Linked DNA regions of Drosophila melanogaster. The gene in region 1 interacts genetically with each later gene. Each region holds a gene or a part of one and is shown on either strand. Other genes may lie near its edges.

Evidence for each region. A genetic interaction does not mean that the proteins touch.
Region 2: of ZnT49B (region 1) and ZnT86D, changing one enhances a phenotype caused by changing the other (phenotypic enhancement), as found in Drosophila melanogaster (one study listed by BioGRID).

What each region holds. Positions count from the first base shown.
Region 1 is NT_033778.4:12,650,944-12,656,272, reverse strand, and holds ZnT49B (zinc transporter 49B), read right to left. Parts: upstream 3,469-5,329; 5' UTR 3,146-3,468; intron 3,092-3,145; 5' UTR 3,086-3,091; coding exon 2,215-3,085; intron 2,163-2,214; coding exon 2,021-2,162; intron 1,964-2,020; coding exon 1,557-1,963; intron 1,506-1,556; coding exon 1,177-1,505; intron 1,125-1,176; coding exon 1,050-1,124; intron 990-1,049; coding exon 876-989; intron 812-875; coding exon 767-811; 3' UTR 530-766; downstream 1-529. Other genes in the region: CG8778 (uncharacterized protein), read left to right, coding at 3,868-4,189, 4,253-4,830.
Region 2 is NT_033777.3:11,211,797-11,216,260, forward strand, and holds ZnT86D (zinc transporter 86D), read right to left. Parts: upstream 2,744-4,464; 5' UTR 2,418-2,743; intron 2,349-2,417; 5' UTR 2,333-2,348; coding exon 2,152-2,332; intron 2,081-2,151; coding exon 1,661-2,080; intron 1,572-1,660; coding exon 1,072-1,571; 3' UTR 512-1,071; downstream 1-511. Other genes in the region: RpS25 (ribosomal protein S25), read right to left, coding at 3,755-3,828, 3,897-4,173, 4,463-4,464.

The sequences.
Region 1 (5,329 bases):
TAAAGTTCACGCTCTTTACCACTCGAACGTTTATTTACTTTACTTGATTTTGGAATTAATTAAACGAACAAACAAATCGCAGGCAATGCTTATTTAACATGTTAACTTGTTAGGGTTTGTTGTGCATGAGTTTTGTCTTCGATTTTATATTTCAAAAATTTGTATTTGTCAATTAACTTCAATATACTGTGCATATATATGCTCTGCTGTATGTGCAAATTATTTATGTGCACATAGAATCGGAAATAATATTTATTTATTCGGCACTAAGCGTACACCTACCGCCAACCGTTTTAATTCACGCGCCAACTCAGACTGAAAAAAATTCCCAAACAGCGGACGCTGAGCCGCAGACTTTTAACAGTGAAAGCAAAACGCTGTTAAAGATCGAAATCTATTCGCACACAGAGGGAAGTGCGCTACAGAGCGCTTCGTCCGTCGAAATTGTTGCTTTCGTTGACCTCCGACCCGTGGTACCAGAAAGGGAAAACATTTCACAATAAGTGCACTATTTATAAACACGGGATGTGAAGGAATATCTAGGCTTTTTAATTCAACAAACTACGTTAAGAAACAGATATATTCAAACCACGGGCTCCTGTCAAGCCCGCGACAATACACTTTTAATGCTTAGTTTTAGGTTTATATCTAGAAGTACACAATGGGAAATAAATATATGCTAGACAGGCAATAATTTCTTATAGAAAGCAACCAAATCACCCAATGCTTTATGTATTTAACAGTCCCCCAGGCGAATAGAGGGCGATTAGAGTATTTCCAGGTCCACATGGCGTATTTCCGGGAATTGTGTCTGTTAAAATTTAAAGTATATACGTTTAATAAGAATAACTAGATTATCATCCATTTTAGCTAACCCGCAAGTTCATCTCAATGCGATCAATTTCGCCGCCCATCAGGTCCACAATGTTTTCGCCTTGATCCAGCAGAAAGCTCTCCAGATCCTCAACCTTTTGAAAGCCTCGAACCGTCTGCGGGGGTAAACAAAAACCGGTCAATGACAGGCCCAGAAATGGGTCAATACCACGTACCGTGAGCAGTTTTGCGAGATCCTGTTTGTCCAGATACGAACGGGTCAGCTCACGGCCGTCAAAGTCGAGCTCAGCCTATGGAAATGAACTTTAGTCTCATTGAAGCCCTTTAAGAGCAAGGTTTTACCTTATACCGAACCCGAGCATTGCCAATATCGATTCCCTTGACATCGTAAATCGCTCTGATCATTACATCAGCCTCCAAAGCAGAGTTAATCTTTTCTAGGCGCTCGGAAGCAATGGATATCCCCACCAACGCATTGGCATTTGTATAAATAATAAAAGAGGCCACAGCGCCCAGAAGAGCACCTATAACCAGTGAACCAGCGGCGTCGAAGATGGGCGATCCTGTGTAACTACTTAATCCCATGCAAGCTGCAGCCACCATAACGCCAGTTACCGCTGCAGCGTCTTCACACAGCACCACATTCACGCACGGATCCTTGCCAGAAATCACTGTAAAATAAGCATTATGATTTATGTTCATATTACACATGCTAAACTCACCATAATCCTTAAAGGACATATTGTTTTCCTTAGCCGATCGCTTAAGCTCATTAATGGCCACCACCAATGTGGCTCCCTCAGAAACTAATGATCCCATCAAGATACAGTACACCCAAAATAGATCTGTTATGGGTTCCGGATGGAGAATGCCATCAATACCGTGGTATATGGACAGGCCACAGCCAACGCAAAAGATGCCAACGCCCGAAATCAGCGAGGAAACATATCGCATGTTCATGTATCCATATGGATGATCTATATCGGGACTCTGAGAGGACTTGTAGATGCCAAACGCGAGGATGAGCTGGTTGATTAAGTCGGCCAAAGAATGGATAACTTCTGCAAACATGCTGTGAGAACCGCTGTACAGCCAACCTCCTGCCTTGAAAAGCAAATTGGCTGCATTGCTAGAAGGAACAGATCTTATTCATAGAAACTTTAGTTTCTTAAGTAATATAACTCACATAGCGATGGCGGTGGCCACCACTTGCCCGGACTTCTCCGACTCCTTTCTGTTGTCGAGCATTACTTTGGTTCGAGATCCCATTTCCCTGCGGTAGTCACGCAACCGCCGTTTAACAGTGAATAGATCTGCGGAGTCATAGACTTTAGCACCCATATTAAAGGTAGAACGGACACAGGACACAAAAACACTTACTCTGCTGGTATTGCTTGCGCTCCACCTCCCGCTTGAGTCGCTCCCGCAACAGATTTTCCTTGGACCCCCACACTTCGACGGCCTTAGCCTCCACATCCCGTCGCCAGTAGACAGTCATGGGTGGCTCCTGCTCGTACGGCGATCTCCGCTTGATCTTGGGCAGACTTTCGAGTTGAGCAGCGGTCAACAAGAAATCGCTGATGGCCCGGTTGGGGGTCACAAAGTTGCGCTCTAGGGAAGCACGATAATCGAATCGGGGTCGCTTTAGAGGAATCACAGGCGCTGGAGGCGTTACCTCTGCAGGTGGGGATGTTCGAATACCTTCTCCCGCCTTTTCAGCTAGCACAGCACCAGACGGAGAATTTTTAGGTGCGCTTTTCACTGTTTCAGGAGGATTCATAACAGAACCAGAGCTCTCTCCCAATCCTACAGCACCAGTTGCTACTCCAGTAGACGTAGAACGTAGATTAATGGCACTTGCGGCCAAAACCGGCTCTTTCACCTTCGTTACCGGTGGCAGATCGGATTTTTCAAACACAATCTCGTTAATTTTGGAGTCCTCGATGGTGGTGCTGATAGACAGGATGCCCTTTGTGGTCTTCACCTCAAAGTTTTTCGTTTCCTTTGGCTTGGCAACTGGACCAGCGGTGGCCTCCTCCTGCACAGGTTTTTCCTTCTTGGAATCACTGCCATTGGCGCTGCAGCGAAACTGAAGGAACGTGCTTGGTCGCTTCCACGGCTGTAGTTTGAATGCCTCGCCGTCATGCCGCCTCCAAGGGTTCCTGCCGTCTTGACGTAAGGAGCACTGGCTAAAAGCCTTTCCCAAGTGCTGGTGTCTTCGCTGCAGGATCTGCACGCCGCGCAACAGCATCCTGCACTGGAAAGGAATACATATTAGGCTTATCTCTTCCACACATATGGTAATGCTTACACGGCGCGCTGCGTCACTATCGCACTATAGATTCCAATCAGTTCTTTTCTATTGTGGGGGGTGCTCCGTGGTTTCTCCTCTAGCGCAAAACTACGTCATGCGGGCCAAATGGAACGGGTGCAAAACGAATTGCGGTTGTAACTACTCCGGATAGGGTCGCTCTGTGGAATGCTCCAATCGTTCCTGGGGCCACAATCCTTGGAGCGTTGAGGGCGTACTTGCAAATATGCTTTAAATATACATTGGCGATTTTTTATACTGAAAATTTAACCATCACCGGCTGGCGCTTTTTGCCTGTGCTTTGGCCGTTGATGTTGTGGTTTTCTTTTCATGCCGAAACAGCTTGGTCACACTTACAGAGCTTATCAATTGTTCTCACTATGCAGCATTTTGAAGAGTGGGAGACGCAAATAAATACAAAGATCGCAAATCTAAAAATTCGTACCATGAAAGCATTTATTATAATTCTTATAAAGCGGCTTATCTTTATATCCATATACATTGATATTACTATTTTATATATTTGGTCAGAAGAATGCCGTAAAATGTTAAAGCAGTGTGAACAACCGCGGTTATTAACCGCCTTGGTGTCTTTAATACTGTTATCGATAGTGGCTTTAAGCTTTTGTCAGCACCAGCGGCAACAGCTGTTTTCTGCCGGTCGTTTTATAATCAGCTTATTGCCTTTTCTTGCTTTCTTTTTATCTGTTTTCAACGTTAAAATGTCAATGTTAATAAAAAGAGCGTCTGGTTTAGCTCGACAGTTAGCCCGGCCACTTGTTGCATCACGTAATTTGGCGTCGGCAGCGCCCTATGGCGATGGAACTGAAGTTCTCGTGGAGCGTTTGGATGGAGCTCGGCAGGGTATCTCAGTTATTGGCCTAAACCGACCAGCAGCAAAGAATTCCTTTAGCCGGGGAATGGTGGAGACCTTCAACGATGTCCTGGAAGATATAAAGAAGGATAATGGATCGAGGGTGGTTGTATTGAGGAGTCTGAGCCCTGGAATCTTCTGTGCCGGAGCGGATTTGAAAGAGCGAAAAGGTTAATCCTTAAATATTTTACATCCCTGTGATAAAGCTAACTTATCTTATACATATATCCCAGGCATGACTCCCGAGGAAGCCACCGAATTTGTAAAAGAGCTCAGGGGACTGCTTATTGCCATTGAGCAGCTGCCCATGCCGGTAATCGCCGCTGTGGATGGAGCTGCTCTCGGCGGAGGTCTGGAAATGGCTCTGGCCTGTGACATCCGGACTGCTGCTAGCGACACGAAGATGGGTCTGGTGGAGACAAGGTTAGCCATCATACCAGGAGCTGGTGGCACCCAAAGACTGCCCCGCATTCTGTCCCCTGCTCTGGCCAAAGAACTCATTTTCACGGCACGAGTGTTTAACGGAGCAGAGGCGAAAGATCTGGGTCTGGTTAACCATGTAGTGAAACAGAACGAAACCCAGGATGCCGCCTATCAGCAGGCACTTAAATTGGCAGAGGAAATTCTCCCGAATGGGCCAGTGGGCGTGCGAATGGCCAAACTGGCCATTGACAAGGGCATGCAGGTGGACCTGGCCACCGGCTACTCCATCGAAGAGATCTGCTACTCGCAGGTGATACCCACTAAGGATCGTTTGGAGGGACTCGCTGCCTTTGCCGAGAAGCGGAAGCCCGTCTACAAGGGGGAGTAAATAGATATCGTGCCACTCCCCTAACGTTAAGCTGAAAATTGCATTTATTATTTAACCTGTTACTGTTGTAGAAACACTTAAGCGGCAAAGTCCAGTTCAATTGTTTTTATTAAAAGCATTCGATCCTATCGAGCTGCCAAATAACTTGAATGACGCTAATTGTAGCTAAACAATTTTTAATACCTGTGATGACGCATCTCAATTTAGACATGGGTGGGAATACTAATTACAGGCATTAAAAACGACCGATCGACATACACTCCTATTTGCATTACATGAATTCGCCCAGCATAGAACTGCAAATTAGATGCAAGGTTCAGCTTGATAGTTCTGTCGTCGAACTATGCGGAAATCGGAATTTCTTGAGAATCCCAGAGTTAGAAACTTTCTATTGTCATGCGAGCTGAGTGTGATTGCATGGCAAATCAACCTACAAGTGGCAGTTTTTATTACCAGATGAGTGTGCCTTCGTTTGTCATTTGTAAAACAGGTAATTTGC
Region 2 (4,464 bases), on another chromosome or scaffold:
ACGGCGATATTGTCTGATGTTCGAAAACAATTTTTTTGAAAAGCACAATATATTTTCCTAAAATTGTAAAGAATATTTTATTCAAGTATTTGAATCTAGTTGAAATAGAACCATTTTCGGGATAAAAAGCTAAAAGTTTTTCTTCGCTATTCTCATACATTGTTGAATTTAATGGTTTTTAATATACATACATATGTGTCTATTTATGTACCTTTCCATTCTTATGAAGCGTTGTTGAAATGGAGTATTGTTCCAAGAAAACTTTTTAACAATAAGGAGAACAACAAGCTATACAATTCTGGTTTATTTTGTGGTCTTTCAAATTAAATTATATTTTTGTAAAGAAGTAGTAAACTGGGCAGTTCAATAGCAGATTATTTTCAATGGGAATCTTTTGTAAATAATTGAAATAGGTTAATCTAATCGAATATGTTAATTGGTTATTTGTTTGTACCCAACAAAAAACGAATGATAAGTACCCATCCAACCGGAATTAAAACTTCTTTCAGTTCGGTTTACGTATAAAAATGCTAATAACAAATTAAATTTTATTTCGTTCATAATTTTGATGCTTCAAACTGTGGCAAAAACGATTCACCAAATGCACTTCCACCGCACGGCGGAATGTCCATGGAAATGTCAGTCAGAATTAGTTGCTATTTTCTGGTTTTGTTCATGCTGAATTTTAAAAAATCTTTAAATATTTATATTTACCTTTGCACAAAATCTTTCGCTTAGCTTACAATTACACTAATGCTCCTCGATATGGACTATTGCATAAGTTATGCCATGCTTTCAGTATGTATAGAATTGGAATGAATGCCGAACGCATTTCAACAAATACAAACGTTAATAAGTTAACAAAAATTCGGAAAGTACAACTGAAAATCAAACACTTTCTTTTACTTAGCTCTTGGAGGGGACATTCGGAAGTGATGGGCGGGGTATTGTGGCGCCGTAGTATACTAAAATTTCATAATGTTTGAGTCGCACTGCCCACAAACATTCAACATGCGCTGATAACTATACAGATCATTGTACAAGGACACCGGTGGGTCGATCCCATTGGCATCAAACATAATCCAACTGTATGTAGATCTGCTTGACGCCCACCGCCTCAAAGATCATCCGTGTGTGCGTCACCACGTACTTGGGATCGACGTTCTTGGACACCTCCAGCTTGAGTGCGCCCACATAGACATCGGAGCAAAGGGTCCAGAAGTGCGGCTCCTGCACAGCGTAAACGCCAGCCAGGCCGGTGACTTTCTGATAGCACTGCGGCAGCGATCGGTCCAGGTCGGCGGGTTGTCGCTGCATCAGGATCATGATCGACTCCTTGATCAGACTCAGCACACTGAGCGCTATCAGCAAGGCTATGAAGATGGAGCAAATGGGGTCCGCTATCATCCAGCCGAACATGTGCATCAGCACCGCCGAGATGATCACGCCCACCGAACCCAAAGTGTCCGCCAGGATGTGCAGGAAGACGCCGCGCATGATCTGCGAGTTGCTGCCCGACATGTCGCCGTGCGAGTGGCCATGGCTGTCGTGATCGTGTGAGTGTCCATGGCCTAGAAATGGGCGGATTTAAAAAGGGGTTATTAGAATATTGTCCCATTCCTAGTCAATATAATAAGATATAATCTCCAACTGCAGTTACCATTGTCCAAGGTGATGGCTTGGTGATTGTGATTGCCGGCGTCCGTGTGGCCGTGCGAGTGCCCGTGCCCATGACCACCACCGTGGGAGTGTCCGTGTCCACCGTGCGAGTGTCCATGTCCGCCGTGATTGAAGGCATAGATGCCCACCAGGTTCACCAGCAGTCCCAGCACGGAGACGACAAACAGACGCTCGTGCTTGACCTCCGGCGGTTCGATAAGTCGCTCCACGCCCTCCGACAGAATGAAGAAGGCTATGAACAACAGGAACAGGCTATTCACGAAGCCGGCCAGCACCTCGGCGCGCACATAGCCGTAGGAGAACTTGTCGTTGGCCTTCCACTTGGTGATAACCGACGCGGCCAGTCCCGCCAAGAGGCCAGTGCAGTCGAAGAACATGTGGAATGAGTCGGAGATCAGGCCTGCGGATTAACCATCAAGTAGGTTATAAACTGCGGATAAGATAAAAAGCCATTAGTGGCCAAGTACGCACCCAAACTGTTCGTCACAATGCCGTAGAAGAGCTCCACGAAGGCGAAGCTCAGGTTGAGCAGCAGAAAGAGGAACAGATTCCGGGAGTTGCGGTCGGAGAAGATGAGTCGTTTCCAGCTGTTGAGCTTCTCCCGGATCCGGTAGCCCAGACTGCTCCGGTCCTTGTGCGACAGCGGTATCATCTTGCCGGTTATGGATCTGCAAAAGAGCACGAGACCAACATGAGATCTAAGCACCTAACTAAGAAAGCACACTTTGTTTGCATACGTGGTATTATCGGTTGGCTATAGCCGCGCTCCAGCTGATTCCGTGATTCCCACTCCGCTTCTGGCCGGGTTCGCGAGAATCTTTATCGGCAACGGCGGCGGCGGCAGGTCTCTTTTCTTTGATTCCCAAATTATCTCACAAGCAAAATGCTTCCTGCGCGACTTCGTCGTCGTCGTCGTCTTGTGTGCGCAGTTGTGCGGCGCGGGCTCGTCGATCTGCGATTCAGCTGCAGCTTAATTCATTTTTACTGGGTACCAGATACCAGAACCGAACTCCCGTCTTTGCCAGCACCAAACCAATCTGCCGTGTTGTCATCAAAATAATGGTAACCACGTAAACATTTCGTCCGAACGAAAGCAGCGCTTCGTTGTGAATGGCAAATGGCCACAGTAAGTGCACCACTGAAAGTTTGTTGGGTATTCATTTTACTGGTCGCTTTTTAGTTAGATCTTCCGGCATTTTGTTTGAAAAGTATAAATTCTAAGGAAGTTTGATTTATTGCGGTCTTTTGATTATTATTATTTTTCACTTTAATCATGTATTAAGAATTGCCAGTTTCTAATTTTTATACCTTATTGAATGAAACTTTAATAAACTTCAATGGCTTTTCTTTTGACTTCATTTTGTCGTCAATTATGAAGTTACAATTGAGTACTCACTGTCACGTGAAAACTGAGAGGGTGAATGGCTTGAGAGCAAGAAGAAGATTAGTACTAATTCTTATTGGGAATTCGTTATTTTTTTATAAACAAATATTATTTAATATAAGTGAAAATAACCAAATTCTTGCTGATGTGAATTACAGCAAATGAATCATGATTTTACTGTTTGTATTCAAATGATAACCATTCAAAGTGCTAAATTCAACTAAAAAATACATTTCAGCGGCTGTTTTAAAAATAGTTCCTCATTGATAACAAACTTGAAAGACATTAATGAAATGTTCACTTTCTTAGAAGTATTTTTGATTAAACGCACATTGCAATGAATAATAATTGCTATTATAAGAATTCTTGATATCCTGATTTGCAAATATATTGCACGTCAGCTGTTCGATTTGTAAGAACAATAGTTTTTGGGCTATATGATATTTTACATTCCCAGCCGTATAACTCCGGCTCGACATCTTGAAACCAGCGCTCAGTGATACATCCCTCTATAAGAGGGTATATCTTTATATCAATTAAACATCACGCAAATGTCCCTTACATCAATAAGAAAGCAAGTTTATTCAACGTTACACACACAGCGGCATCGTAGTGCTATCGATACAGAGTTCTATTGTAAGGCGAGTGCGACTACGGCGATGCGAGATGGGCAAAAGGTAAAACATTCATTTACGCCTCATCACCCTTGGTGGCACGTGTGTAGATGACCTGGGAATGATGCTGCACGACCTGCTTGATCAGACCTGAAAGCAAAGAAGAGTGCCATTAGGATTTATGCTAACGAAAAGGTAGGAAGCGTAAGGAAACGTACCCTTCTCGCGCAGCTCGATGAGAGCACGCTTGGCCAGGGAGCCGCGGATCTTCAGACGCTCGGAGACCACCGATGGGGTGATCAGCTTGTAGGCGGGCACTTCCTTGTACAGCTTCTCGTAGGTGGCCTTGTCGAACAGCACCTGGTTGTTCAGCTTGTCCCTGACTTTTCCCTTGGACCACTTCTTCTTCTTGGCCTTGCCGCCGCCGGATCCCTCCTTCTTCTTTTGTGTCTTTTGCGGCTGCTTGGCCGAAGACTTCGCGTCCTTCTTAGGCGGCTGGAATGTTGCAAAGAAAAACGGGCTTGTATTAACAACTTGCACTTGAATCCCAGACATAAATAAACCCCATTGACCACCATTGAGCAGCACCTGGAGTTGCTTGCTTTCGAGGTTAAGGCATGCTTTTGTTTTTTGCCCGCATTTTCACATTTTCCCACTTGAGCTGGGTGTTGTTTTCATGGCCCAGCCCTGGGGCGGCACTTCACTCATATTTTGCCTCCATTTGCGGGCCACTTTCACAGTGAAAAACTATTATTTTCGCAGAATTTAGTAGCAGCGAACTCACCA